Linked DNA regions of Cricetulus griseus. The protein of the gene in region 4 interacts with the protein of the main gene of each other region in a pairwise test. Links are inferred from orthologs where the notes say so. Each region holds a gene or a part of one and is shown on either strand. Other genes may lie near its edges.

Evidence for each region. The genes of interacting proteins can lie anywhere in the genome.
Region 1: the proteins of Ube2k (region 4) and Trim27 interact in binary tests that used the Homo sapiens proteins (3 or more experiments, as listed by UniProt). The link is inferred for Cricetulus griseus from reciprocal best matches to the Homo sapiens genes UBE2K and TRIM27.
Region 2: the proteins of Ube2k (region 4) and Rel interact in binary tests that used the Homo sapiens proteins (3 or more experiments, as listed by UniProt). The two-hybrid records come from large-scale screens. The link is inferred for Cricetulus griseus from reciprocal best matches to the Homo sapiens genes UBE2K and REL.
Region 3: the proteins of Ube2k (region 4) and Marchf3 interact in binary tests that used the Homo sapiens proteins (3 or more experiments, as listed by UniProt). The link is inferred for Cricetulus griseus from reciprocal best matches to the Homo sapiens genes UBE2K and MARCHF3.

Annotation. Positions count from the first base shown.
Region 1 is NC_048596.1:243,545,815-243,552,991, reverse strand, and holds the end of Trim27 (zinc finger protein RFP), read right to left. Parts: intron 4,539-7,177; coding exon 3,943-4,538; 3' UTR 2,136-3,942; downstream 1-2,135. UniProt on the Homo sapiens protein: E3 ubiquitin-protein ligase that mediates ubiquitination of various substrates and thereby plays a role in diffent processes including proliferation, innate immunity, apoptosis, immune response or autophagy.
Region 2 is NW_023276807.1:83,017,775-83,025,838, forward strand, and holds part of Rel (proto-oncogene c-Rel), read left to right. Parts: intron 1-445; coding exon 446-588; intron 589-4,716; coding exon 4,717-4,865; intron 4,866-8,064. UniProt on the Homo sapiens protein: Proto-oncogene that may play a role in differentiation and lymphopoiesis.
Region 3 is NC_048595.1:182,138,700-182,146,763, reverse strand, and holds part of Marchf3 (E3 ubiquitin-protein ligase MARCHF3), read right to left. Parts: intron 2,516-8,064; coding exon 2,297-2,515; intron 1-2,296. UniProt on the Homo sapiens protein: E3 ubiquitin-protein ligase which may be involved in endosomal trafficking. E3 ubiquitin ligases accept ubiquitin from an E2 ubiquitin-conjugating enzyme in the form of a thioester and then directly transfer the ubiquitin to targeted substrates.
Region 4 is NW_023276807.1:132,626,041-132,633,881, reverse strand, and holds part of Ube2k (ubiquitin-conjugating enzyme E2 K), read right to left. Parts: intron 4,058-7,841; coding exon 3,958-4,057; intron 1,309-3,957; coding exon 1,180-1,308; intron 913-1,179; coding exon 838-912; 3' UTR 1-837. UniProt on the Homo sapiens protein: Accepts ubiquitin from the E1 complex and catalyzes its covalent attachment to other proteins. In vitro, in the presence or in the absence of BRCA1-BARD1 E3 ubiquitin-protein ligase complex, catalyzes the synthesis of 'Lys-48'-linked polyubiquitin chains.

The DNA.
Region 1 (7,177 bases), on a different chromosome or scaffold from region 4:
CCTCTTTCTGCTTCAGTTTATTTGCAACTCAAGGGCAACTACATACACTTCATAAAGCCCTAATATGCATTAAGTTACTGAGCAGAAAACTTCAGAGACAAACACTGCTGTCAGTGTTTCAAATGCACGTGTATTATCCTAAGCATTTATACATCACTATTTGTTGAAGCACCTGGGTCCCTGGTTGGCTGTACTATCTTCCTTGAAAAAAAAAAAAAATAAAGAATAAAGAATTGGGGCATTATTCATTAGTTAGGACACATCTACTAAAGGTCTTTGGCCATGGAAGCCCAATGATAGACCAGGAATGAGTATGTATGGATGTGTATGTAACTGAACAATCTTAGTATTCCAGGGCAATGTGCAGAAGCAGCTAAGATACAAATTCCTGAGCCTTATTTTCTCATCGTCATCTTCTATAGCACATGGTGACATCACCCACAAGCTTGGGCTGGTTATTTTGTGTTGAGAAGCGTGTTTTGAGCGCTCCAATCTCTTCCATTCAGGGCTGCATTACTTCAGAGACAAAAATAAAAACAAAAACAAACAACAACAACAACAAAAAAAACAAAAACAAAGCCGAGCATTGGTGGTGCATGCCTTTAATCCCAACACTCGGGAGGCAGAGGCAGGAGGATCTCTGTAAATTCGAGGCCAGCCTGGTCTCTAGAGCGAGTGCCAAGATAGGCTCCAAAGCTACACAGAGAAACTCTGTCTCAGAAAAAAAAACAAAAACAAAAAAAACAAAACCCAACCAACAAAAAACATACTCAGATGGGCATATGGCTTCTGTCTGTAATCCTAGCACCCAAAGGACCAAGGCAGGAAGATCATACCAAGTAAGGACAGTGTGGATTCAAAGAGATCCTGTCTCAAAAATAAAAATAAAAATCCACAACAATTGTAATAATCAGATAAACACATTCAGGCCTGGAAACAACATTCTCCCAATGAAATTACAGGACCATACAATACAAGGGCTATGCCATGGATTTGCACATTGTCTTCTCATCATTAGAAACAGGCAGGGCACTGAAAAACTATTATATAAACTACTTGGAAGCTACCATGTGGGAGGGGATTATAGACCCATATTGGAATATCAATAGCCCCTACCACCACTTTTCACCCAAGACCCAAAAAAGAACAGCAATGTAAACATACATAGTCACTTTATTTTTAAAACAGTAGTGTCAGTACACAGCCCAAGAATGAAGTTGTGTGAGGGAAATTTTGAATGCTTGTGAGAAAACTCCAACAAGACAAGAGTCTTATGTCCTGTTTCTTCAAAAACATGGATTTATTCTTGGAATGTGTTTTCATGCTCCTCCCAGGTGTAGCAGATAGTTTAGATTATTCATTACAACTGGATATTACTGCTTGTTTATGACTGTGGAAAAATGGTTTTGCAACATGCAGTTTACTCAGTGAATCTTCTCAACCCTCAGAGTATAAATTGTTTGATGCTCTGAATAAAGAAAGCTATTGCATGATACTTCAGTCCACCTCATTGTGAGGCTCCATCCTCCCAGCTCCAAGCCCCAGTTAGATTGGAAACCAAAGGGGAGCAGGACTAAGAACTACAGCAGGGCTTGTTCAAAGTGGCCTTAGCTTCCGACTCCAAAGACTGTGGGTGGAGTTGCCTCAAATGGCACACATAAAAAAACACATTGCATCCCCATCCCACAGGGATGCAATGAAGCCCTAGAGTACTGATTCAACCCTTCCAGAAATTGAGTTTGATGACTACCAGTTCACAAACACTCCAAGGATATTCTTAGATGATAAACACAGGCCTAGCACCAAGACAGACCTTCCAACAAAGCTTTTGGAAAGTGACTGAGGAAGAGACGCTGGTTAAAACATTGCCACTACACAGATGGGGTAATTTCTCACCATTAGTATAAAATAACTGTAACCAAAACATAAATTATATTAACAGGGTTAGTAAAATAACTGGCAATCAGAGTAGAGTTACTGTTCCATGGGGGAAAAAAAAAAAAAAGGTAGGAGAAAGGGAGCCGTTTCAAAATCTGTGGTTCCATCCTGGGTTCTCAGATGGGAGACATGGTCCAAAAATAGTGGGTCTTACGTTTGTTCTATACTGTTACGATAAAACACTGACCAAAAGCATCTTGGGTAGAAAGAGTTTATTTGGCTTGCACTTCTACATTACAGTCCATCACTGAATGTCAAGGCAGGAAGGAGCTCAGGGCTAGAACCTGGAGGTAGGAACAAAGAGAACCAGAGACCACAGCTTATTGGATTGCTTTTTAAAAAACAGCCTAGAACCACCTGACTAGGGGCAGCACTGCTCAATGAGCTTGTCCTCCCGCATACCAATCATTAATCAAGAAAATGTCCCATTAGATTTGTCTACAGGCCAGTCTGATAGGGACACTTTCTCAGTTGAAGTTCCTTCTTCCCAGATGATTTTAGCTGGATTCTGTTGGCAGCTGTACTCATGCGCATGTACATGTACACATACCCACACAAATAGTAATAAAAATTACTTTAAAGTTCTAGTCTTTAAAAAATTCAAACACTTTAAAACTTCAAATTCTCTTTAAAATGTCCAAAATGTCATTAAGTGGATTCCTGTAAAATCAAAATATAAGTTACATACTTTCTTATTCCAGGAGAATAGAACCAGGGCACAGTTACAAACAAATCAAAGCAAAACCAAACTTGAATAGTTAAGTAACTGAATGCCCAGCATTTGGGACTCATGATCTTTTGGGCTCCAAAGCTTACATAGCTTCACCTCTCCAGCTCTGCCATATGCAGCACAGACTTGTTTGGTAGGCTTACACCAGCTCCGCTCCACATCTGCTGTTATACCTGGTGACCATCCTACAGTCCTGTCATCTCCAATATGCCGGAATCTCCACTGCAACTGGCTGCACCTTCTCCAATAGCTTCTCTTGGGCTCTCTTCAGGGACTCTGATCCCACTACAGGATGCCAAACCTCAGCTTCTCTCCAGGACCCCTTTAATCTTGTTGTTCATGCAGTCAAACCAGTACCACATGGGAGATCCTGACACATTACCAAGTTTTGCTACTAGCTTGAGATGCAGGATTGGCCTCCTCTGGAAGACAGGTTCTGTGAGCCGACCCTAAGGAAATACTTCCCAGAAGATTTCACCTCAATCAGCTGATCTTCAGTGCCAGCTAGCCAGCATCCACTGTCCCAGTAAAGCAAAGGTTTCACTTCGGTCATACTGGTCTCTTTTGTTATTCACAGTCAATTTTTCAGCCCCAGCTGTCCAGAAATCACACATTCGTAATTCAAATATATTTTTACAACGACCCCAATACTCTTTGCTTCCCAATGAATCTTCATAAGTCTGGTCTCTATCATCTGTATTCCTCTCAACACTCTTAAAAACTCATTATACTTTTTATATTCAATGACTTTTTCAAACCAAAGTTCTAAACACTTCCATAATCCTTCTTAAAACAAGGCCAGGTCTATTACAGCAATAGCTCACAATCCTGGTACCAATTTCTGTCTTAGCTTCTCTGTTGCTGTGATAAACACTGATCAAAAGCACCTTGGGGAGAAAATGGTTTATTTGGCTTCTACATCACAGTTCATCATTGAGAAAAGCCAGGACAGGAACCTCAAAAGTGGTTCTCCAAATCCTATCCATATTCTTTATCTACTTTAGTCATGTGTAAAAAACCAAGAAAAGTGTGAAACACAGGAGGAGGAATCTGTTTTTTATTTCTGGGAAATAGCAATACTTCTCATTACATCTCACAATCTGCAAGGGAAGGGAAAGTGTAGTAGAGACCATGAACATCTTGTCTCTCACTGTAAGGGCATGGAAAACGGTAAGGGTATCCAGCTTTGATGGACAGAAATCGACAAGACAACAAGATCCCTTGACCTGGGGTAGGATTATAGCCAACAGCACTTGTGGTCTAAGTTCACTTCCTTAAGGGGAGGTCTCCATGGAATGACCGTGATTCCCAACATGGCCAGAAAACCCATCAATCCCACTCATAGGGCAGATTATCAAAGGAGCTGCACTCTTCCCTCCCGAGTAACTTAGGCTGAAGTAGGGCCGGACTGGCCCACAGAAGGTAGCGTGAGAGAAAGTAAAGGTATGACATCTCTCTGTCACATTGTAGAAGGAGACCTCACCAGCATCATAGTCCAAGAAAATCCCTACCCGCTGAAGAGGGGTCCGAAGGGGGAGGGCAGTCATTGGGGAGGTAAGAGCCCAATATTCTTTCCCATACCACAACGACACTGCCCAGAATCCATTCTGGGGTGCTGAGGTCACCCCACCTTTTCTGCACACTGAGTCTTCACAGACACCTATGGTCCACTTGGCTTTATCTCCCACCTCTACCTCCCAGTAATGTCTCCCAGCGATGAAACACGGAGAGCCCAAGACACAGGGGAACAGATTGAACCGTTCAGGGTTGTCTGGCAGGTCCTGCTGGAGGTAACTGTACCGTACTTGGCGAAGATTATCAGAAAGGATCAGGCTGGGGTAGGCTGTGTCTGGGTCCAAGGTCACATCAACTGTAGAAACAAAGAAGTGAGGGTCAGCTGAAAATGAGAGGAGCCCGCCCACTCAAGACCACCTGACATTCCGCCTACTTCCCTGAACACAGCTTAAGACGAAGCTGACAACTACTAATATAGCGGTGGCCGTGTACACTCAGCACAACAGACATCCTGGGAAACACAACACACGGAGGCTCCTGGCCACATAAATGCAGGAGTTGCTCTTTTAATTAACTTGATGAAAAACCAATGAAACTTTGTCTTACAGATATTATGGAGTTCAGAATTCTTGTTAATTCTTTCATTTCTTCTCAGATTCTGTCCCACACATCCATACCCTATTCATGTTTTCTCCTTCCCTTTTCTGAGAGAATCTATACAGATCAGATATTTTAGCTTCAAACAAACTATGAAGCAAAACATGGTCTTAAGCTGCCAATTCCCTTGGCTTCCCAACCACTAGGGTTACAGGCATACCCAACTACATTTGGCCTCTGCCTAGGTTTTTTTTTTTTTTTTTTTGAGACAAGGTCTCTCTACATAGGCCTGGCTGTCCTGGAATTCACTCTGTAGACCACTGGCCTTGCCTTGAACTCAGAGATCCACCTGCTTTCTTCCACTCAAGTGCCAGGATTAAAGATGTGTGTCACCTCACCTGGCTGCCTGGTTTATCTTAAGTAGCTTATTCATTACTCTAGCTTTGAATCTAACATTGTGGATAATTCATGCCATGTCCTTTGGTATTTAGTACTATTGTCTTTACACTCATGTGAATTGTAGCTTCAAATGTACATGTCTCCTTTCATCCTGTTCAGGACAGGGTTCCCATGCACTCTCTCTCCGAAAGGAAAACCCAGTCAGATCAAACCATTCCAATAAAAGGTTCATGATAGGGCAGAAGAGACAGCTTAGAAATTAAGACACATACTGCTCTTCCAGAGAACCTGAGTTTGGATCCCAGTACCTAACCAGGTGGCTCACAAACACTTGCAATTTGAGCTCCAGGGAATCTAACACTGTTTCTGGGCTCCCACTGTTCCCACATGTGCATGGATATAATCTATATACATAACTTAAAAAATAAAAATAAGGCTGGAGAAATAGCTTAGCAGTTAAGCATGCCCAGATTTGATTCATGGTACCCACATGGCATAAAAGTCTGTAAATTAAGTCCCAGGGGATCTAATACCCTCTTCTGATCTGTAGCGGTACAAGGGACACATATGGTACACAGACATGCATGCAGGCAAAACAACCACACAAATTAAACCCTTTAAAAATAAAAACAAATCAAAAGTGAAAAGCCCTTTGACAAAATTCAACATCCCTTCATAATACAAGACCTGAAGAGATGGGGTATGAAAGACGTACCTCAACACAATAAAAGCAATTTACAACAATCCTGTAGCCAACATCACTCTAAATGGAGAGAAACTCAAAAGTACTGCCAGTAAAATCAGAACCAAGACAAGTATGTTGTTCTGGCTGGTTTTACATAAACTTGACACAAGCTATAGAGTCATTTGGGAAGAAGGCCTCTCAACTAAGAAAATGCCTCTATATTATCTTCATATAGGTGCTCAAATTTTCTTAATGGTTGATATGGGAGTGCCCAGACCATGTCACCTCTTGATAGGTGGATGTGGGGTGTTTAAGAAAGCAGACTTAGCTGAGTAGTAGACTGTTTGCCTATCAAGGCCAAAGCCCTAGGTTCAGTCCTCAGCTCTGGAAAAGAAAAAAAGACCAAACAAACAAACAAAAAACCCACAGCAGATTCAACAAGCCGAGGAGTAAGCATGCAGCTTTCCTCCATGGTCTCTGTATCAGTTTCTGCCCTGACTGCCCTACCTGAAAGTGCAGAAAGAAATAAACCCTTTCATAAGTTGTCTTATCCTAGTAACAGAAACCCCAACAAATACGAAAATTGGTACCAGAAGTGGGGAATTGCTATACAAACTGACCGTTTGGGGAGAGCTGTGATTGCATTTGAACTTTATGCTGGAAAAGCCTTTGAGTACTCACAGCTCAGTATAGGCTGTTCTGTTTGAATTTGGAAGCCAAGAGTGTTCAGAGAAATGCAAATGATGGAGGCCTGGCTTGTGAAGTTACAGAAAGAAGCAAAGACTACTGTGGTCTTCTGTGTGGTATTTTTGTGTTAAGAATCAGTAGTGTCTGGTCAGCTGGTGCTGAAGAATAAGCTGGGATTAAACAGAGACTAGCACCAATGAAGGAAAACTTTACGTTGCCAGGACAGACGTTGCCTTTCTCCATACCTACTCAGTTTAGTACTTGAAGTCTTAGCTAGTCCTGGACTAGAACAACCGAAGGAGATCAAGGAGCTACAAACAGGAAAAGAAGAGTTCATCCTATCCTTATTTGAAGATGACATGTTTAATGCATAAAAGACCATCAGGAAACTTCTACAGCTGATAAACACTTCAGCAATGTAGCAGGCTATAAAAATACACAAAAACAAGTAGTCTTTCTATATACAAATGACAAATATACCTAGAAAAAAACCAGGGAAATAATCCCATTACAATAGTATCAAAAATTGTTTTTCAGCCAGGCAGTGGTGTCAAGTGCATTTAATCCTAACACTCATGAGGTAGAGGCAAGAGGATTTCTGAGTTTGAGGCCAGCCAGATCTACGA
Region 2 (8,064 bases), about 50 Mb from region 4:
TTGGTATTCCAGACTTGTGTATACAAGGATTTAAGTGCATTTTAATTCTTAATGAGTGTCTTATCATGTACTCAGAGTCTAATTTAAAATAAAGCAGTGAAGTACATTTTACTCCGTTTTGGAGTACTTCTGATATGATTTTCTTCACCTTTCTTGGGAAATGTTGGGAGAAAACCCTTCTAATTGGTCTCATGTGGTTATCTCAGAACTTAATACTGTCGTTAGCTATAGGTATTAATCAATAAAGCACTAATCAATTGTGTGCTAATACTACATAGGAGTTCAGTTTGTATGAGGGAAAAGGTATCTTCCTCATCTAGTCTTTGATGACTACATTTGAACTTTGCTTCGATGTATTGTTGTTTTTTTTTAAAAAAAACCCGTCATTAAAATCCATTATATTGCTATTCTAATCTCATTGCCCTGTCCCTTTTAAAATTTGCAGGTGGATATAATCCCTATGTAGAAATAATTGAACAGCCAAGACAGAGGGGAATGCGTTTTAGATACAAATGTGAAGGGCGATCAGCAGGCAGCATTCCTGGGGAGCACAGCACAGACAACAATCGAACATATCCGTCTATCCAGGTAACAGACCTTTCTCCAGTGTCTCATTTTTAGTGGCTCATATTTCACTATGGCAGGTCCATTAAAGGCTCAGATTATTTTTTGGTTTTGTTTTGTTTTGAGACAGGGTTTCTCTATGTGGTCCTGGCTGTCCTAGAACTCACTCTGTAGACTAGACCAGCCTCAAATTCAAGAGATTCACTTGCTGGGATTAAAGGGGTGCATCACCACTGCCTAATGGAAGGCTCAGTTTCTTAACAGTTACCTCCACAGTCTTTTGCCCCCACCCCCCTGTTTTTTTTTTCTTTTAACTTACTTTGTATAACTAGATGTGTAGGGAGATCCTAAAAATGTGGAATCTTTCCTGCTATAGTTCATGTATTAATGTAATTGCAGTGATTCATGGTGCTTATTGTACACTGAGAGTCTTGGATCTGATTCCTTTTGTAAACAAAGCTAATAGTAAGGAAAAAGCATTCTCTATGTAGTGTAAGGGGGAATTGTTTTATATGTTAAACATGGATTTGGAAACTCTAATTTTTTTCTGCAATCTTTTAGTCTCAGGGCTATTAATAAGAAAAACTTTCCCCCTCCCTTTTCCTTACCTTTATTGCATATCTCCAATTGTCATCTAAATTATCATTTTTTTCTCTGTGTTTAAGGTGTGTGTGTGTGTGTGTGTGTGTGTGTGTAAGGGGTATGTGTATGTGTCTAAGGTGTGTGTGTGTGAATGCAGGCACTCTTGTGCCTCAGTGCACCTGTGGATGTCAGGACAGTGAGATTGAGGCCAAGACTGGTCTACAAAGTGAGTTCCAAGACAGCCAGTACTGTTACACAGAGAAACCCTATCTCAAAACAAAACAAAACAAAAAACCGAAAACAACAACAAAAACTAGTCTGGGGCAGCATTACCCACTGAAATCCCATCTAATTGGAGGCTGGGGTAGGAGGATTACTTGGGTCCAGAAACCAGTGTGAATAAATCATCCCAAAATGGAGTTTGAAAAGTGGTTCTTAATCTTTCATCATTAGATCTGAAATAACTGCTTTGTAACTAGCTTATTTATACTTTATTTTATTGAACCTAAGAAGAATCCAAAGTTAAAACTTAAGTCAATTACTAAGTTATACATTGATTTCCAAATTTCTCTTTTTGTTTTAACTTATATATAGATACTGAAATACATGTTAATGGGATGTCATGTAATGTTTGATACAGGTATACGTCATGTAATTCTTAAATCAGGTTAAACATACTTAACTCTCAAACATTTATCATTACTGTGGAAACATTCAAAGTCCTTCTAGAAGTTTGAGATATACAGTATATTTGTACATAGTCACCATATTGTATAATTGTGTGCCTAGAGCTTTTTGTCCATCTGCTGTGCAAATTGAATTTTTAAAAAAAGATTTTATTTTTATACATGTATGTGTATGTATCTGTGAAAATGCATATTTGGGGGTGGGAACCCACATAGGCAAGAAGAGGCTATTGGATTCCTTGAAGCTGAAGTTATAGGCAGTTGTGAACTGCCTGATATGGATGCTGGGATCTGAACACTGGTCCTGTGGAAGATCATGAAGAGCTCTTCATTGCTGAACTATCACTCCAGTCCCATAACTTCATGCTTTTAAGTCACATTTTTTTCAACAGTATGGATTAGGATTTTCTAAGCTCTTTTAAGTATTCAAATGGAAAAGATGCATTGAAAAGTTAATTTAAAAATTCTATTTTTCCAATCTTATGAGTCATTTTAGCTCCTCCTTAAGAAAATTGTTCCTAAATTTATTTATAAATTCATGCAAACATTCTAGGCCAATGTGTCTTGATCCTCATTCCCTTGCTCCCCTTCATTCTAGTTAATCTGGAAGTAGTGCAGACATTTCCAAGCTCTTTTTTGTTGTTGGCATGATGTACAATCAGAATCGCAATCAGTCCCGCCCCGCAGACTGTTCTTCAGATATATACATCTACATATATATATATATATATATATATATGTGTGTGTGTGTGTGTGTGTGTGTGTGTGTGTGTACATATACATATATCTATATATATGTATATGTAGATGTATATATATGTTTGGGTTTTTTTGTCTTGTTTTTTTCAAGACAGGGTTCCTCTGTGGATTTGGAGGCTGTGCTGGAACTCCCTCTAGGCTGGCCTCGAACTCACAGAGATTCGCCTGCTTCTGCCTCCCGAGTGCTGGGATTAAAGGCATGCACCACCAACACCCGGCTATATATTGGTTTTTGAGACAGGGTTTCTCTGTGGCTTTGGAGGCTGTCCTGGAACTAGCTCTTGTCGACCGCCCGGCTTTTCAGATATTTTTGATGAGATATTTCAAATATCTTTTGGAAGAAGGTATCTTGGAGGAGACAGTGATCTTGCTGTTGCTCCCTTTGAAGGTCACAACACTCCACCAAGATTCTCAGCTTTTCCTCTTACCTTCTATCTCTCCGAGGAACTGCTGGAAACTAGTAGCATCCACAATTCTGTTTTCTATAGGGGGTGTGCAGTCAAGTATGAATTTCAAAATCTGCTTTTTCACCACAAGGTTTTTTCCATTGGCTATGTGTCCTCAGAGGACTGTTTTTGTTGTTGTTGTTTGTTTTTAATTTTTGAACATTTTTAGACACTCTCCCCATCCTCCGTGTGTGTGTGTGTGTGTGTGTGTGTGTGTGTGTGTGTGTGTGTGTGTGTGTACAAGTAGAGAGTTGCAGGGCAGTTCTCTCTGGGTACTATGTGATATCCAGAGATTGCACGATTGCACTTCTTGGTGGCGGTACCATCGCAGCAGCCCCTAATTCTTCTTAAATCATATTAATTTATACATCAAAATTATATGTATGATTTGTATCTTTTCTACTCCAACCCGTCCTAGACACTACAGATTAAATTCTTTCTCTATCAGCCTATTTTGTAGTTTTTACCTCTCTTTCATCTAGAAAGGCAGTAAATATTTCTTGATTACTATTCATTTTAAAAAAGAGGAAAGTAGCAGTGGGTGGATATAGTATACATTGTATAAATAAACATATAAAACTTTCAAAGAATAAAATATAAAACATCCAGGCGCAGTGGTACATGTCTTTAATCTCAGAATTTAGGAGGCAGAGGTAGGTGGGTCATATTTGTTTGCTATTATTTCCAGTGTGGCTTAAATAAGTTTTTTTCAAGGCATACTTATGGTATGACAGTGTAAGAGAAAAGCACTGAAAAACCTAACCTCTAAGTATTTCCTTGTGCTCTGTGGTTAAAATAAAATGTATCAGTTTTCCAAGCAGTGTTAGCACATACATTTAATCCCAGAACTCAGGAGGCAGAGGCAGGTAGGTAGATCTCAGAGTTTGAGAAACCTTGTTTGAAAAAAATAAATAAAAAAGGTATCAACTTAACTTTATTTATTTAGGATTTTTGAGACAGGATCTCATATAGTTCAAGTGGACCTCAAACTCACCATGCAGCTGAGGAGGACCCTGAACTTCTGAAAATTCCTGATTCTATTCTTGAGTATGGTTAATGTGGTACTGGGACCAGGGCCTTATACATACTAGGCAAGCATTCTGCCCACTGAGCTACATCCTCAACCAGTTTTGTGTTTGGTTTTTTGAGACAGGGTTTCTTTGTGTAGCCCTGGCTGTCCTGGAACTTGCTCTGTAGACCAGGCTGGCCTCAAACTCACAAAAGATCCATCTGCCTCTGCCTCCTGAGTTCTGGGATTAAAGGTGTGTGTCACAATGCCAGTGTGCTTACTTGTTTCAAAAGGAAAATAAATAACCAGATGATAAAGTTAGATGAAATTAGGGGAAAAAAAGAAACATTTGAGGAATTGAGAGATACGTTTTTTCGGGCTGGTATTCTCTGGAAACTTTAATCTCAAGTAAGTGGTTGAATATTTGAATTTAGTCAATGCTGACTTCATTATAAAAACTGAACTTGAATTTAGTAGATAAGTTCTTTATATTTGTTTGCTTTTAAAACAGGGTATTATTGTATGTAGCCTTAGTTGGCATTAAATTTGTGCCAGTCCTGCTTCAGCCTTCCAAATGCTGGGACTACAGGTATATGCCACAGTACCCATCTAGTAGATCTGTTCTTAACAAGATGTATTTATGGATTGTACAATTAATTTCCCCTTTCAGGTTATGAACTATTATGGGAAAGGAAAAGTGAGAATTACATTAGTAACAAAAAATGACCCATATAAGCCTCATCCTCATGACTTAGTTGGAAAAGACTGCAGAGATGGCTACTATGAAGCAGAATTTGGACCAGAACGCAGACCTCTGTTGTAAGTATACAGTCACAGAAATCTTTGGCAACAGGACAAGGATATAATTTTAGTTTTTAGCAAAATTATTTTCATATTTAATAATTTACTATGTATACATTTAAATTTTTAATTTTTTTCATCTGTCAGGGACATGCATGTGCTTTGGGGTGTATGTGGAGGTCTGAGTTGGTTCTTTCCTCCACCATGTGGACTCTCAGAGTTGAACTTGGGTCACTAGGTGTGATTGTAAGGATTCAGGCATTATGCTGACCTGCCCCTGTCACCTGGCAGAATGCACTCGGGCAGTACTCTGGTCAGCCCAGGGTCCCATAGTTGTGTAGTCTGCACCAAGGTGCAAAGGACCCCTTGAAAAGAAAGACCCCTGCCAACTTATGCTTTCTTTCTGGCTCCTCTCTTTCCCTCTCTCCCATTCTTTCTCTCTGTTCCCTTGGGGCAGACAGGACTTTCCCTATCTCCCTCTCCTCTTCTGTCCTCTCTGTCTCTGTGTCTCTTTACCTCTTTTATCTTTCCTCCCCTCTCCCTCCCCTTTCTAATAACATTTCTCACCAAGCTCTGACTGCCTGGCATGTTTGTCCCTCCACCTCGGTCACCCTCGCCTGCCGTGGAATCCTCCAAGGTCCCCCCAGGCAAGGTCCTCCTGGAGCTTTATCATAACAGTGATGGCAGATGCCTTTACCCGCTGAGCCATCTCAGCAACCTGATATTTACCTTTTTGTTTTTTAAACATTGGCATTAGAGCTGTTCTTTCATTTTTATGAACAGCACCACATATGATAGGTGGCAGAAGTACTTCCTTGAGAATTGGAAATTTAGACAGCTCATGTAGCCTAAGCTGGATTCAAACTTGCTATGTAGAATGAGTTTGAATTTATCTTCCTGCCTCCATCTCCCAAATCCTGAGATGGTAACACTACCATGTCTGGTTCAGCAGTACATGTTTTTTTTTTTTTTAATTATGCTCTTATTTTTTCTTAAGACAGGGTTTATATAGGCAGGTGGCCTTCCAGAGGATCCAGCTAATGACAGCAGAGGTGTGAAGTTATGTTCATAAGGCACTACCTTAGTTTATGCAGACAGAACTCAAGACAGATTGCTGCCATGTTAGGCCAGCAATCTGACAACTGAGCTACAGGTCTACCACTTCTTATCTTCTAAGTTTGGGCTGTTTTTAGACAGAATTTCACTGTGTTGCTCAGCCTAGCTTCCAATGTGTAGTGTCCTCCTGACTCAGCCTCCAAAGTGCTAGGATTATAAGTAAACATGCATTGCCTTATGAGGATAGATGTACTTCTTTATAATTATTGAAAGTAAATAAAACATATTTTATGTTGTGATTTATCTCTTCATCTGTGAAAAAAACTTGAGGCCATCTTGGAGTACACAGCAAGATATTGTCTCAAAAAAGTTCCTCTTATTAATAGTAATAACACAAAACACAAAAGCACTACTAATGCACATTTGACAAGAAGAACTACTGCCCACATTTTTTGAACTTCCACCAGTGTTTTAAACTTTCAACCACTTGTGTATTGAAATGCTCTTCTTGATTTCTGTGAAGACAAACTTGTTTTAATTCATAGTTTTCTGGCTGTTTTTCCAGATGGCCCCTGTGTTTTCATCTCTGTCACTCTAGTGCCTCTAATCTGTTTGTTTGTTTGTTTGTTTTTGTTTTGGTTTTTTTTGGTATTTCAAGACAGGGTTTCTCTGTGTAGTCCTGGCTGCCCTTGAACTCAGAGATCCACCTGCTTCTGCCTCTTGAGTGCTGGGACTAACGGGCATGTATCTCTAACCTTACTGTTGCAGTCAGAAGAGTATTCTTTAGTTTGCTCTGCTCACAATGCTTTTTCATAGGGCCATTTCATGTTCTGTTCCTTTTATCTTCCTAATCCAGTTCATATTATCACTTCCCACAGGAAGTCTGCCTGCCCACCTTGAATTGATCCCATTATATTCTCCTTCCTATAAAGTATATTTACCTTCATAAAAGTTGTTATGATTCAGTTGAGTGTTTTTGCCTGTGATTATCTGGTAGTTCACCAGACTTGAGCTAGCAAGTTTTCCTGTAAATGGCTAGTAGTATCACAGGCTTTACAAGCCTTTTGGATTCTGTGTCCTACTCAACACTGCTGTTGCTGCAGGAAAGTGGCCACAAATGATACATGAGTGTATGGACATGTTTGTGTTTTAATACAAACTTTATTTGCAAGAAGAGCAATATGCTGAATTTGGCCCATGAATTAGAGTTTGCCAATTCCCCATTCCAGACACTGAGGTTCCATGAAGGGAGAAATTGTACATCTCCATTCCTTTCTAGAATTTTAATGCACAGCTGGAATTCCAAAGTGTATTGAATGACTGCGAAGGAATAAATGGGAGGATGAACCAAATACCCTAATGATTCTTGGTTTCCTTAAGTCAGATTTATTTTACTCATTCCCTTCTTTTCTCTTTCTTCTAGTTTTGGGTGTCATGAATGCTGAACAAGTACTATATTATTGAGTTAATAATGTCCTAGCTCTTGGAATTTTGAAGCTCCCCATTAGTTTTAATATCCTATGCATAGCAGATAGGACTATTCAGATAAAACAAAGCTAAGTAGTGTATATAAGGTTGAAGAAGTCTTTAAAACATTTTATTAGAAAAAAACTAAAAAGCACTAAGAATCTTTCAAAGAAAGAATTATTTTGTTAAAGGATTTCAAGAAAGGATTAAGAATTCATAACTTATTTATTTTGTTATTGGAGGTGGAGGAAGGAAATGGCAAAGTTATTTTAGGTGCTAATAAAGTCACAGGTGTGAGTGTCAAGCATGAAGCATGAACATTAAGGCAGCATGAATGTGGAGTAAGGTGACCCAGGCAGCCTCTGGCTGCAAGTGCCAAATGAAATGTGAAGAAATAGTGATGTTCTTATCATTGAGTTTTGCTTCCTTATTCACACCCACCCATCTCGAATGATGTCATGGTTTTTCCATGTGGGAACAAGTATGACTGGGTGGTGGTAGGGGAGTTCCCCCCACCATCATCTTTATTACACATATGCAAATGAATAATATTTGTAGTTATTGAGAAGTTTTCCATAAATGACCTTTTGAAACTGTTGCTAAATATTGTTAGTATTAAACCTTTCTAATAAAAAACACTTCACTCCTTTTATTGTAATCCTATAACATGGCATACAGTGCATTTTATAATCTT
Region 3 (8,064 bases), on a different chromosome or scaffold from region 4:
AAGTGTGATAGTGATTTTTCACTTTCATAGTGAATAGTATAGTAAATTTCATAGTGATTTTTCACTATGAAAAATCACAGACCCAGAAAAGCCTAAAATACTGCATAAAAAAAAACAACCAACCAAAAACTCCCCTGTGCTTAATTATTACTTTCCAAAGTAGTTTACTGTGTACTCCTTTGATTCTACCTCATGATACCAGGGGAAGTGGGTCATGATAGGCTCAGAGAAGTGACTTTAAAAGGTGTGCAGTGGACAGAGTGGAATGTAGTTACACTGCTCAACTGGTGTGTGTGTGTGGTGTATGTGTGTGTATGTGGGTGGTATATGTGTGTGTGAGTGGTGTATGTCTATGTGTATGTATGTGGTGTATGTGTGTGTGTGTGTGTGTGTGGTGTATGTATGTGTGTGTGGTGTATTTGTGTGTATGTGTGTGTGTGTGGTGTATATGTGTGTGGTGTATGTGTGTGTGTGTGGTGTATATGTGTGTGGGGGCATGTGTATGTGTGTGTGGTGTATGTGTGTGTGTGTGTGTGTGTGGTGTATGTATGTGTGTGTGTGGTTTATGTGTGTATGTGTGTGTGGTGTATCTATGTGTATCTGTGTGGTGTGTGTGTGTGGGTGTATGTGTGTGAGTGGTGTATGTCTATGTGTGTGTATGTGGTGTGTGTGTGTGTGTGTGTGTGTGTGTGTGTGTGTGTGTGGTGTATGTGTGTGTGTGTGTGTATGTGTGTGTGTGTGTGTGTGTGTGGTGTATGTTTGTGTGTGTGTTTGTATGTGCATGAGGCCAGAGCATGGTGAGGGGCATCATAATCTATCACAAGCATTATTGCCTTGACATAGGGTCTCTTGATGATCTAGAAGCTCATCTGTTCATCTAGGCTGATTGGCTGTCTCTGCCTTCCTCCCCTAGAACACTCTCTTACAACACCCACAACCATGCCTACATTTTTTATATGGGGTGTTGGGGATTTGAATTCAGGTCCATTGGACTTATGTACTCTTACCCACTGAGCCATCTCCCTAGCCCTGCTTAATTTCTTATTTCTAGCCATTTTCTCATCACAGTGAAAGCCTGGGATCAGTTTCCTTGTTTCATTTATAGTGAAGCAGGACACACTTTAAAAAGCGTGGGCCATCACAGGAGGAAAAACTAGTTTTGTGTAGGGCTTCATTATCTGGGAGTTGAATTTCTTAGCCAACCAGAAGTCTCACTGAGCTCTTGGCATCAGAATGCACCCCGTTTGCTACTGTTTAAGTCATGTCCCTCTTCCAGAGGCTGAAATGTGTCTCCTGACTGTCTGAACATCACCAAGGGAGGGGAGGGCCAGAGCGGAAGAGCTCATGATGACTAATAGGGAAATGAACAGAGGGTCTGATTGGCGACGGAAAGGGGTGGGGAGGGAGGGAGTAGAGAGCCAGGACACAGTGCTATGGGATATGGGAAGGGTGCACTTTTGACAGGAAATACTACTGAATAACAATAGGACGTGCTCAGATTACAACTGAGCCCACACAGAAGACTCAAGCCAGGAAGCAGGAGGCTGGCTGGCCCCTGGACATATTCTCAAGGATGGCAGCCTCCCCCTCAGCCCTTTAGCTCTCACTGGGCAGCACATAGAGGGAGCAAATGGTACGCTTTATGGGTGCCTCCAATCAGCTTATTGCGTGGAGTTAAATGAATGAAAAAGGGAATACTTAAAAATTCTTCTTCATACACAGCAAGGACACTTATTGGGAAATGGCTTTTCTTCAGTGGCAGCGAAAGTCTTCTCAACCAGATAAATTAGTGCTTTTATGGGCAGTGGACTCAATATCCCAACACACGGAATAATCATCAGAGAGCACAGCACCACATCCAGTAAAGACTCCAGACTGTCAGGATGCAGGAAGGAAATAGCCAGTAGGCAGGATTCATGATCTGTGCAGGAGGCTGCAGCGCAGCAATCCTTCATAACCTACCACAGGCCCAGCAAAAGCCAGAAGCAACCACCATGCCTCATACCAGTTGGAATCCTAGTCCACCAGAGAGGAACTACGGGGTGTGGTTCTGAATGGTGAGGGCTGGGAACCTGGGTTTCTTTATTGGATATGCTCTTCCTTGCAGTGTGTTTGTATATACATTCCCACTCATATTCTCAGCGCCCCCAGTGCCTCCAAGCCACACAGGTGTGCCATGCCAGCCTTTGAAGGTCGGTTCTCAATTGGGCAGGTGAGAGGTGCTGTAGACACCAGGGAGGTTTGTACCTGTGGTGAAGTGCTGCCAGTTCTAGCCACCCAAACCCCAGCCACTGACCATACTCACTAGTGTCCAGAAGAGGTAAATAGTGAAGAGTGCCACAGTGAGTGCAATCAGTCCAACGGCCTCCAGCCGACTACTAAAGTGCAGGTGGTCCACGGCGCCCCGCAGGCACAGCCAGCCTGAGATGGTAGCCAGGGGCGTTATAAACAAGAAGCACACCATGTCTCCAAACAGAGTTCGCTTCTCATGCTGGGGGCCAGGGTTTCTGAGCCACTGCCAGAAAAGAAAAGAAAAAAAAAAAAGACAGAAAAAAAGTAAGGAGAAGTTTGGATGGCAGCAGCGAGGGGTGGGGACACATTGCTCTCAAGTTGCCTTTGCTTCAGGGTCTGGACAAAGGCACTCTTGACCCACCTAAGATGATAAGGAAGCATGGAGGGCTTGTTCTCATGCCTCTGTCCCTCGAATAATAATGACTATGACAGTTTGTAATGTCCTTGCTGAGGATGACCTGCTTTCTGTGAAAAGAGTTCAATGGCTGCTGCTATGAATTGCAATGATCCTATGAGGGCAGAGGAAAGGTTACTCTGCTGTGCTCTGCAGTGAGCGGTCCCCCAGATTTTCACATGTGAGGCCATGGTCCCAGGATGGTGACATAGGTACTGTAGAACTCTGGGAGGTGGTGCCTCAAAGGGAGGCAGCTACAAAGGTTACCAGGGTCATGGCATCCAAGGAGATTATGGGATGTGGGTTTCATTCCTTTGCTTCCTTAGGATGAGACCACTTGCTCTGACCTGGATACGCTGCCTCATCAGAGGACCAAAGCAATATGGCTGCCAACCTTGGCCTTGCACCCTCAGAACTGAGGGCTTGAATAAAACTTTCCTCTTAAGTATTAATTGCTACAGGGATTGCCTCTCAGTGATGGGGAGCTGACTGCTGCAGACGGTAACAGCCAAGGTGTGAGAGCTGTGTACATGCACCCTCGGCTTTCCTGTATCTTGACTTGGGAGAGTGTGTGCAGAGGAGGGTTAGCTCAGCTGGCCCCTGTGTCCTCACTTAGGATCACCTCTGACTCCTTGATAGTGCTTCGAGAGTGTGCGGATAGACCAGGATGAGCATGTCTTGTTGAAGGACTATGAAGAAAATATGGACTGCTGTCGTCCCACTCGATAACTGCTGAAGACCTGGAACTGCTTCCCCAAGCACAGACTACAGAGGATTACAATGCAATTCTGCATTTACATATTGGTGTCAGCATTTTCCAGAAATGGAGTCCAGTGGTTTCTGTAAGATTAGCATGAATGCACAACCTAGTACACTTGTCCCATGTAGTGAAGAGGCCAATTAGGCCTGAGAAGTGGGGTTCTGTAGGACAGGCGGTGGGGTAGGGTGGATTGACATTGTGTACTCTGTCTTCCATCGTGTCCCCACCAACAAACAAGTGCCTGCATTGTCTGTCTGTTGGCACATGCCCAGAACTGCCATTTGATGGCACCAAACAGAAGCCCTGCAGGGTGCTGAGTAGAGATTCCCACCTGGCCAGGGCAGTAATTCCTACAAAACTGTGATGGGCTTACGAGGGAGATGGAATGACTGGAGAGGGAAGGAAGGGAGGGTCATACATGAGGACAGAAACAAAACACAGTGGCTGCACAGAGGGAAGGCAAGCTGGGGCTGGCATGGCAGAAACCTCAAGAATAAACAGAAGGGGCAGGAGGACAAGGCACAGAACAATGCCTGTGGGAGGGGTCCTTCCCTGTGGTTGCCTGGATCCTAGCACACCAGCTTCTAGTGATCACCCCCCGGAATACTGGGTGAGAAGTCAACGTCAGCTCAAAAGTGGGCATGAATTACCATTAGGACACAGATAACAGGGAGTCCGCTTGTTTGTGGATATGGATCCCACATTATGAATATTTAACACAAATACCCAAATGATCAGGTGCAAATACATTAACCCTGCCATGTGCTGTGATGCCACCTCACACAGTTCAGCAGCTTCAAAGAGCTCTCATTAATTAACATTTTTCTTGCCTAAATACTGGCACTACCCCTAAGAAGTAAAGGATATACACAGGTCATTATCATCCCAATTTTACATACTCTGTAAGGTTGAATGATTGAACCATGTGACCCAGAGGCTGCAATGAGGAGATGACCCATCAGGCTCTCTCCATTCTCCATGTCATCTGAATACATGATTAGTAAAATATTTGGAAATTTAAATTGCAAGACATTACTTAGGCTCCTAAAACAACGGTGCCCAAGGTTTAGCGGAGCAGTCCCTTTAGAGCTGGGTTTTCCCAGACAGGAAGTTGGTACACTCACCTCTGCACCCGTGGTTGCAGGAAGACGGTCCTCAGTAAACATGCAACTGTGTGCGGAGACTGGCTCACTTCCTTGGCTACGACTTCCCTTTCTTTTACTGGGAAATTCTGGACATGTTTTATTTATTTAGAGACAGGGTCTATGTATCTCTGGTAGGCCTAGAACTTGCTCTGTAGACCAGGCTGTCCTCAAATTCACAGAGATCCACCTGCCTCTGCTTCCCAAACACCAGGAATAAAGGTGTAAGCCACTACTCCTGGCTGGCCATATTTTACTAACATTAATTTGTTATATTACTATCTATAAGCCTTCTGACAATGCCCTGTGCAACAGATGGTCCAGATATGGAAGAAAACAATTACGAATCAGTGTTTACTTGATAAACATGTTAGATTTCTATTATTTATTTATTTATTTATCTAATCTATCTTTGTGTGTGTGAATGTATATGTGTGCATACAATGGTGCACAGTAGAGGTCAGAGGACAGACATGGGTGTTGGTCCTTTCTTTCTACCTTGTTTGAGACAGGGTCTCTTAGTTTACACTGGTGGGTGCACCAGGCTAGCTAGTACATGAGCTACTGGGATTTTCCTATATCTTGACTCTGTCTTCCTGGAGTATGGTGGGGAAGGGAGGATTACAGATAGATATCACTATGTCTGCCTTTATGGGGTTCTAGGGATCCAAACTCTTGGTCCTTATCTGTACACATGGCAAGTGCTTTTACCATGGAACCATCTCCCCAGCCCTATATTTATCTGGTAAAACAAAGACACAGAGCCTGATCGTGCAGCTCAGTGGAAGAGGGAATGAAAACTCTGGACAAGGCCCTGGGTTCAATCCTCACTGCTTCCCTTCCCCCATAAAAGTGAAAACAAGTGTGTGACAGGCACAGTGGAAACTGCAGCTGCCTAACCCCGTGTCTTGTGTTCTAATTGTTCTCGGATTTTCTGTTCCCTAGTTTAGCCCACTTTGTATGTCTCCAATTGTACTTGTTAGTACTGCTCTTGGGAAGACCTGCTTACTTTGCTGATTATATTTTGATGAGGCGTTCTTAATACTCTTATGCAAAATATGTGTTTTCTTTGAACCCCATGTGTTACTCTGCCTTTCCCTCTCTGAGCAAGAAGAGTGGCAGTAATTTGCTGTTGAGAAAGAACACAAACACCTATACACACCAATATAGAGGTCTCCATTCAAGTAGAGTTTGTAACAGAATATTTGATTAGTTTCAATTTCTAACACTATGAAATGATCTAAATCAATTGTAGAATTTACTTAAAATCGTATTATCATGTGATAATTTATAAACATGGTATACTGCTGAGCAGAAAAACTCTTCTGGACAGAATATATACTCCGAGTCTATGAATGCAGATATATCTACATGGACAAAGAAACTTAGGTTTACTTAGACATGGTATATTGCATGGACATGACTAGAGGGATACTCAACAAAATAGTAGCTATACCTGGCATGAAGTGGTTTTAAGATTTTATGAAACATATTTTGTTTTCCGGAAGTGAGTATGAACCATATAGCTGTATCTACATATCCTTTGTACAGAACATATATACACACAAACACTCATATTTGGAGAGAGTGGGGAAGGGAAGGGGAAGAAGAAGAGATGGAAAGAGAGAGGGGAAGAGACAGATAAAGAAATAGAGAAGGTGAGAGAGGGAGAGAAAGGGGGAGAGAATGAAGAGTAACAGACAGTGGGGTAGGCAGGTGTCTAGCTAGTGCACAGCTCCAAAGCACTAAAACACTATATGGAGTTACAGCTGGGGCAGGCTCAGTGCTAGGAATTTGGTGTTTATTGTGCATCATCTCACAGAGTGCTTACAACAGAGCTATGGAATAGAGCCTACAGTATTCCCCACTTCACAGATACAGATATGGTGGAGCAGAGGACTTCATAACCTAGCTAAGGATAGCCAGCCAATGAGAGTTAGAGGTGGGATTCAGACTAGCCTCTACTTGTTGTTCCTTGATTTCCATATTAACATTTTCATTTTACACCAAATGGTAACTGTGTGTGAGTACATGTGTATGCTAGGTGTTTTTTTCAACTTAGGTGAGACATGGTAAGTCATGCTAATTTTATGGTGTGTAAAGCAGGGTGTAGGGGGATGTAAATCAAGTTGCTGAATGGTTGGCTGCCCAGGATGTGATCATGGTAATTTTACAAAATTTTCTGGGCTGCTGCTTTGATCTATGTTAATTCTTTTATCTAACTAGAATGGGGTCCAATTTCTGGGCATTTAATCTCACATTATCATGCACATTGGCCTAATTCATAACAGGCAAAGGGTTGATCTCAATTACTGTGCTTTGCTTTTCTGGTTCTTTGTATGGCTTCTGCTTCTCTGTCAGTCACACTTACCGTATACCGAGGGAGGTGCAAATTCTGCAGTGGTGCTTCATCTCCAGCAAACCGAAGCAGGGAAGGTACAAGCAGCCTTGTTTTTCCTGCTGGGTGTCATCTACACTAGCAGTGCCTAGGACAGTGCTGGCCGAATACGAGGTACTTAACCTCAACCAATGATAGCAGTTTGTTTCCTGAGCCCTTACTATATATGCCCAGCATTATCTTATATGTGACATGTGATAACTCATACAACAGTTTTTGAAGGAGGTAAGGTGTATGAGAAGGGTCTTGGCTTCTGTCTCGGGTAGTCTAGCTCTAATGAGTGTGTCCATAACCATTCTACTGTATCCTCATCCTTGGCATCCTTAGGTGAGAGAGAACGATCACACTTAATAGTTCTTATCAGTACAAAGAACATGTGCTCATGGCGCTTGTCCCGGTGTGAGACAGCACCATGGTCACCAGTGCTGAATGGTTTAATCTTCCTCCTCAGCTCACACTTGGTGGTTAGTTGCATTTTAAAGACTAAGGTCACTGCCAAGGGTATACTAATCAGTTTGGAATCTTTCATCTGACAGGCATATCCCAGTTGCTGCCAGTAGCATTCTTCTTGTCTTGTTTTTCTCTGGTACAAAAATGAGGCATTCAGGTATGATGACTCATGTTTATAATCCAGCATTTGGGAGGTACCAGTCAGCTGGGGCTACCGAGTGAGATATTGTCTCAAAAAGCCCAAACAGACACATGAACAAACCAACCAACCAACCCATGAAGCAGGCAAAAGCTTTGCTGTTGAAATACCCAGCAGCTAGTGGAGCTGCCTACTTCTCTATGGAAATCCCATTTTAATCACCAACTTGTTGCTGAATCATGATGCTGGTCTATTCTTGGAAATAAGTTCGATCAACAAACAATCCAAGGAGAAACCCAACTGTAATTAGCAGAGTAGAGCCGGAGACAGTCTGGGTAGTGAGCACAGCGGTCTACTACCAGTGACTCCGTCTCACTTACTGACTGGGATGAACCTCTGAGGTGGGTTCAACCTAATTATGGTGCCACTATGGAGGGTGGGTGTGAGGGGTTAGCAGACTGGGCCTTGAGGACTCCAAGTTAATCAGCT
Region 4 (7,841 bases):
ATTCACTGAAAAACTAAGTAGGGTCCTTTTATTAAATCTGGGAATACTGCAACATCAAGTGTTAATTCTTTTGTAAGAGAAATAAAATTTGCAGCCCCATTTTTACATTATTACTTACATAGTGAAGAACTCGGACAAAACATTTCAAACCTATGACCTAAAATGGAACAAGGGACACTTCCTCAGCACGTTTCCCACCAAACACAGAGAAATTCACCATGAGAATCTTAGCTCTGGATGGTAACAAGGAAAAAATAAGAGTGTCCTTAGACCTATCCACAGGGACTGAAAGGCTCTGATTAGGTCATCTTTAAATCTGAATAAATCTCAAAATTCAAGAATCTCTAACACTTAAAAGGGTGGTCATTTCAGCTACCCATCCTAAGAAGTCAAGTACAAGCATGCAAGTAAATTCACAGGCACAGAGGATCCATGTTCAAACGCTTAAGGTAGCTGTGATGCAACAGGACAATGTGAGCAGGAGACACTCAGTGTTAATCCTAGTTATTCAACAGAACCCTGAAGCAAACTCGCTAGTCTTGTTATACTGCTAAACACTAACGTAGCATGTTTTCTCCATGGTTTTAGCTTAGCTCAAAGAATTTTTACACTATTAAGAAAAAATTAAAGTATTTCCCCTTTTTAAATTTACACAGACGTTTAATTAGCTTTATTTACAGAGCAGGGAATTATTTTTTTTTTTGCAGTCTCCAATGGTGCCTAGATAACATCATTAGGCAAGAATGCCAGTTTAAAAGAAATTTATGCAGAATCCTAAAAATAACAGATGTTGGTGCTCCTCAAGAGGCGAGCGTGGCTGGTGGCAGCTCCCAGGCCTCAGTTACTCAGAAGCAGTTCTGTTGCAGTCTCTACATCCCATGATTTTGAAGACAAGGCCACTATTACTGCATTCTGTAAAGAAGTGGATAAGAACAATCACATCTCAAGGAAGCAGTTACTAAGCTCTGAAAAACCTCACTAAGGTTTGCACAGAGAATCATGCATTCTTTCCTCTACCAGTGCCTGGAATCAACAAAAAGAATCGTTGATTTCAGTAACACAACACTATTAACCAAACAGTTTAAAAAAAAAAAAAAAAAAAACATTGCTAGCCCACCTGTCCCAAGGACTCAGAGCAATTTAGAATGAGGAAGTCAAATCAATTCCTCCTGTACTTACCCTATCAAAGCCCATAGCACACAGGTTTTCTATTTTTTTGGTGTATTCTGGACTAGAAACTGGTGCTCCAGCATACACATGTGCCCAAAGTCGAGCTGTCTGCTTGAACATTTCAGGATTTTGTTTGTACTACATGGAGGGGGAAAAAACGATTAGCATGACAATGCAGTGACAGTTAACATAGCATCTCAACTAAAGAAAATACATTTATATCTAAGATGGGACTCATTTGGGCAGAGCTATGGGGAACACTGAATGGTATTGTTAACTGAGTCAAAAGTCAGAAGTTCAGTTACCAGCACCTACTATATAATGCGGCAGAGGCAGGCAGATTTCTTTGAGTTCAAGGACAGCATGGTCTATTGAGTTAGTTTCAGAACAGCCAGGGATACACAGAGAAACCATGTCTCAAAAAAAAAAAAAAAAAAAAAGATATGTATTTCAATACTTTGTAACCAAACAAGCAAAGTTATTAGTTATTTTAGATGTTAAAAAGTCAGCTTTGGGGGCTGAAGAGATGGCTCAGAGGTTAAGAGTGCCAACTGCTCTTCCAGAGGTCCTGAGTTCAATTCCCAGCAACCACATGGTGGCTCACAACCATCCGTTATGAGATCTGGTGCCCTCTTCCGGTGTGCACATATACATGGAAGCAGAATATTGTACACATAATAAATAAAATCTTAAAAAAAAAGTCAGCTTTGATGTTACATCTAAATCTGTAGGAAAATCAGTGCTAAATTTCTGAAGACAAGATGTCTGCTACCAAATTATTAATGAATAGCACATATGTGCAAACTGCGAAAAGCCCTAATTCCAAGCACTTTAAGTCCATCAATGGAACTAAGGAAGCACGCATAAAAAAGAATAAGCAGATCTTCAAGCAGAAGGAAGAGAGAAGGGAAGCCTGAAGAGGTGTCTCTTCCCAGCACCAATATTAGGTGGCCAAAATCAAGGATATATTACCTTATTTAGACCTCAACAGGTACTGGCACTCAAATGCTCATACCCAAAGACACACATATATATATAATTTTAAAAATAAGTCCTTTTGTTTTGTTCTTAAAGAACTTAAGGATAAAGAAATTTGGGCCGGGAAGATAGTTCAGCAGCTAAGGACACCGCATAAGCCTGACAAGTTGAATTTGATAACTAAAAGCCTGGCAGTGGTGGCATACACCTTTAATCCCAACACTCAGGAGTCAGAAATAGGTGGATCTGTGACTTTGAGGCCAGCCTGATCTACAAAGCAAGTTCCAGGACAATTTGAGCTACAAAGAGAAACCCTATCTCAAAGGAAAAAAACAAATACAAGAACAGTTTGAAGCCTGAAACTTAGGTAACATGGCTGCTGTGAGGTACCTATGCCCACGCTTAGACATCAAGCAAGTATGTTCGCAAGCACACATACACAGGGACAGTTCTAAAAAATATAAGGATATTCGATAAGAAATGTTTCCCAAAGGAGAAACAAGGAAAACAGTATAAAAATTAAAATGATTACAATCCCAAAAATTCATGAATTCGAATAACATTATGAGTTAAAACATGTTCAATAGCTTAAATCATGGAAAACCTCTGAAATGTAAGTGTTAGGTCATGAGTGAATAACAGTTGATTTGGGTTGTTAGTTTTGAAACAGGGTCTTACTTTTTAACTCTGTCTGGTCTGGAATTTACTTAGTACAGCAGGCTGACCATGAACTCACAGAGGTCCACCTGTGTCTGCCTGCCAATGGCTGGGATTAGAGTACACCTCCACACAGGCAGGATCTGGGGTTCAGAGGTCAAGCACGGTGCTTTGATCATCCAGGGAGTGCATACAATGGAAGGGGAACTACAGTAGGAGCCAATAGCTCTCATTAAAAGTGATTAACAGGCCGGGCACTGGTGGCGCACGCCTTTAGTACCAGCACTCAGGAGGCAGAGGCAGGGAGATCTCTGAGTTCGAGGCCAGCCTGGTCTCCAGAGCGAGTGCCAGGATAGGCTTCAAAGCTACACAGAGAAACCCTGTCTCGAAAAGGAAGGAAAAAAAAAAAAAAAAAGTGAACAACAATGGCCAAAAAGGCAGAGGCAAGTGGATCTTTGTATTTTCAAGAACAGCCAGCCAGGAGGACTGTTACACAGATAAACCATGTCTTAGAGAGACAGAGACAGGGAATCAACTTTAAAAATAGGGAGAGAAGAGGAAAGTATTTCATAAATTGAGAGATGTTTAACAATAAAAATGCTCAGTAAATCAGAATACTTTAAAGTAGAGGTTGGTGAACTAAAACATAGATTTTAACAATTTAAACCTTTCAAACCACAGACAGTGTGACTGGATATCAAAATAAACACATGGTTATGACTCTGTTCCTATAAAATGAGATTGCCCAAACCAGCCAGTGTGAATGTACCTTACCTTACCCTTAGAGGCATTAAAGAAAAGGAAAAAGTTCTCCATTCAACACCCATGAAAACCATTGCAATGCCACTACCATCAGCTCCACTTCTGTGGTGGGAGGTTATTATGATCACCACCAGGAAGAAGCCAGTAAGGTATAGAAAGAGGGTTACAAAAGTGCACAAATGATAAAGTGCATGTGGTAAATGCTAACTGTAGAATCTACACAGGTGCTCACTATGGAATTCAATCATACATAAGGGAAAAGCATCTGTCATGTATCCAATGAAACCATTTCCAAATTTAGTACCAATATAGAATGTTCATATGCTGACATCAAATATTAAAATCCATATACACAGGTCTAAGAAAGTCTTTCAAAAACTTCCTTCTTACCTGATTTGCTACTACTGCATCTTGGGGGTCATCTGGTTCTGCAGCTGCCAACAGTGCTTGCAATGACAATAATACCGTGCGCAGAGTCATTGCTGCTGCCCTAAATTTCAAAATAGGAAAACATACCACTTAAAGGGGGTGCTGAACGACCTAAACAAAGTGTATGTTTTCTGAATTTAAATAAGAGTTAACTAATGTGTGTATAATTGCCATTTTTTTCTTACAATGAGCCTATTTCTTCGATAATTTAAATCACTGTATTCTTATCTGACTTCACTTTTTCTTTTTGTTACTCTTACCTATCTTGTAAGCTTTATCTAATGGTTCCATTTATAATTCATTCTCTTCTTAAACAGAATATTTTAGGTTTTAAGTGTATGAGTGTTTTGTCTCCATGTATGTGTGTGCACCTGAGTGCCTGATGCCCAAGAAGGTCAGAAGAGGGTTCTGGATCCCCTAGAACTCCGAGTTACAGATATCATAAACTGCTGTTTGGGTGCTAGGAACCAAAGCCAAGTCCTCTGCAGGAACGCATGCTCTTACCCACTAAGCAGCCTCTCCAGTCCCTTACCCATATTTCTTAGTAAAGAGATAATTAAAGTTATTAATATTAACATGGGGATTTTGAAAGTTTTATTGTTTTGAATTGTAAGAATATTCATTTATGTGCATATAAGTACAGGTGCCTACAGAAGCCAGAAGCAGCTGATCCCCTCCAGCTGGAACTACACACAATTGTATGTCATCCAACATGGGGATTGGAAATTCAACTTGGGTCCTTCAAAGAGCAGTAATGCCTTTAACCACTGACCCACCTCTCCAGCCACCTCTTTTAATAACACGCTAAATAAAACAAGCAAATAAAGTACCCTTTAGAAGTTCCAAAATAAGTCTGTTATATTCCAAAATAGGACAAATTTTTGTTTAAAGTATCATCACTTGGGGTTGGAGAGATGGTTCACAGTTATGCATGTGTACTGCTTTGGCAGAGAACCTAAGTTTAGGTCCCTACATAAAGGGTTGTGAGTTACACTGAGACGTGTCTCAGACAACAGCAGCAAACACCAAAAAACAGGCTGACCTGCTAAACTAGCATTTAAGACACAGAGTTCTTTTAAAAGCTTTGAAAACACAGCTGGATTGCCGGACATTAGTGGCGCACGCCTTTAGTCCTAGCACTCAGGAGGCAGAGGCCAGCCTGGTCTCCAGAGCCAAGTGCCAGGATAGACTCCAAAGATACACAGAGAAACCCTGTCTCGAAAACAAAACAAAACAAAACAACCACAAAGGTGGGTAGTACTAGCCTTTACTCTAAAGATCACTGTAGGCAGAGGCAGGCAAGAGTTCAAGACCAGCTTGGCCCACAGTTTTAGCACCTCAGCTACACAGATGCTGTCCTAAAACAAAACCTTTAAAAACAGCTACATAGTTCTATATCCTAGCTGACAAAACAAACCATGTTTTCTTTTTCCTCCCCCCACCTAGACCTAGGTGTTCAATTTCCTAAGAGCATCAATGTTAATTTTCCACCAAGAGCTGTAATACTAAATTTTAGCACAGAAGTTGATAAGATGTCTAAGTGGATAAAAACACTCATGACACCAGCCTCAAGACTGAAGTTCATCCCCAGAACTCAGTTGAAAGTTTGATGAGAGACCAGAATCCATACTGATATCCTATGACCTTCACACAGAAACCATACCCATATAATAAGCTCTGAAATAAAGATTAAGTCACATATAACCACACTTAGCTCTTAAATATTTATATCTGTCTTTCCATTACCACAAAAACACGGAAAGAGTGTATCACTCTGATTTTAATTTTTGAGGAATTTCAGTGGCTGGAGAGATGGTTCGGTGATTAAGGGCCTTGCTGCTCATTAGAAGACACAAGTACAGTTCCCAGACTCCATGGCAGCTTCCATCTGTCTTTAATTACAGGTATAGAGGTTTCAACATCTATGGCCTCACACATACATACAACCAAAAGGCCAAATTCATTTAAAAAAAAAAAAAAAAAAAAGAGGCCACTAAGACCTCTCTCCCGTAACTAAATTACTTCTTTTTAAAAATTATGTTTGGGGCTAGAAAAATAGCTCAGCTGTTAAGAGCAGTGACTGCTCTTCCAGAGGACTCAGGTTCAGTTCCCAGCACCCACATGGCAGTCAAGACTGTCACTCCAGTTCAAGGGGATCTGACACCCATGGCAAAACACCAATATACTTAAAATAAAAAAGTATATTTATAAAAAAAAAAACCAAAAAACTGAAGGCAGGCAGATCTCTGTGAGTTTGAAGCCTGGTCTTCAAAGAGAGTTCCAGGACAGTCTCTAAACTTACAGAGAAACCCTGTCTCAAAAAACAACAAAAAAAAAAAGAAGGAAGGAAGGAGGAGGAAGGAGGAAGGAGAAAGGAGAAGAAGAAGAAGAAGAAGAAGAAGAAGAAGAAGAAGAAGAAGAAGAAGAAGAAGAAGAAGAAGAAGGAAGAAGAAGAAGGAGAAGGAGAAGGAAGAAGAAGAAACATTTGAACCAGGAAGGAGTGGTACACACCTTTAATCACAGAAGAAAAAAGAAATGAGCAGAAAATTTGTTTAGTGGGGTGGTGGTGGTGATGGCAATCCATCTTTAATCTCAGCACTCAAAAGGCAGAGACAAGAGGTTCTCTGAGTCCAAGACCACCTGGTCTATAGAGAGAATTCTAGGACTTCTTGGGCTATACACACACACACCAAAAAAAAAAAAAAAAAAAAAAAAAAAAAAAAAAAAAAGAGGGAGGAGGGAGAGACGGAGGGAGGTTGAATAGCAAAAAAAAAATTTAAGAATCTCGCCTTTAATCGAAACACTTGGGAGGCAGAGGCAGGTGGATCTCTGAGTTTGAAGCCAGCCTGGTCTACAGATCGAAGACTATTACAGAGAGAAATCCTGTCTCAAAACAAACAAAAAACAAATAATAAAAATAATAATTCTTGAAACTGCATAAGGTATATAGAATTCAACCACACACTTAAAAATGGTCAGGAAGAAGCAAACTATCCCTTTCCCACAATCCCTCAGGATATTCCTTTCCAATTTGACCAGAATGGTTCTCGAAGAGTGGTGACAAGGGCAATCTGCCACTTAGAAGGTGGTTGCTCAAGAATATAATACCAACATCCATGCACACACTCATGGAGAGGCCTCAAAGATTAATCACCCTGTGCACATAAAAATGAAAGGAGACAGGGACTCCAAAGGTGTTTTCTCAACAGAGTTGTCTGGGCTGAACATGCAATATGCCTAACACCTATGAAGGAGGAAGACTCGATAACCAATCCTGAGAGTTGGTTCATTTGGTGTGGTGGTTTGAATGAAAAAAAAAATGCCTATGTAGTGACATGTATTTAAACACATGATCCCCAGTTGACAGCACTGTTTGGAAAGTTTGTTAGTTTTAGAATGTAGAGCCTTGATGGAGATAGTAGATAGCTTCCCTACTTCCAATTCACTCTCTGTTTGCTGGAATGTTAGTGAAATGTGATAAGCAGCTGCTCTGGCTCCCTGCTGCCATTTGGTCCCTGCCATTATGGACTCTTGCCTTCTGGAACCATAGATAAACACTTTCATTTCTAAGGTGCTCGTGGTCATGGTATTTTATCACATCAACAGAAAAATAACTAATATACTTGTATTCTCATACCAATTTGTAAAACCTAGAATAATCAATGTGGATGAGAATAGTTAATTGTCAAAGTTATAAAATCAAACATGTAGTTAAAATGATATATATCCTCATGTTCATAGAGAGACTCTGTTTCAAAAGGAATAGGTTGACAGTGATACTATGACATCCAAAGCCTATATCTGGCTTCCTGTCTCAAAGAGAAAAGATAGGGGGTTGGTGATAA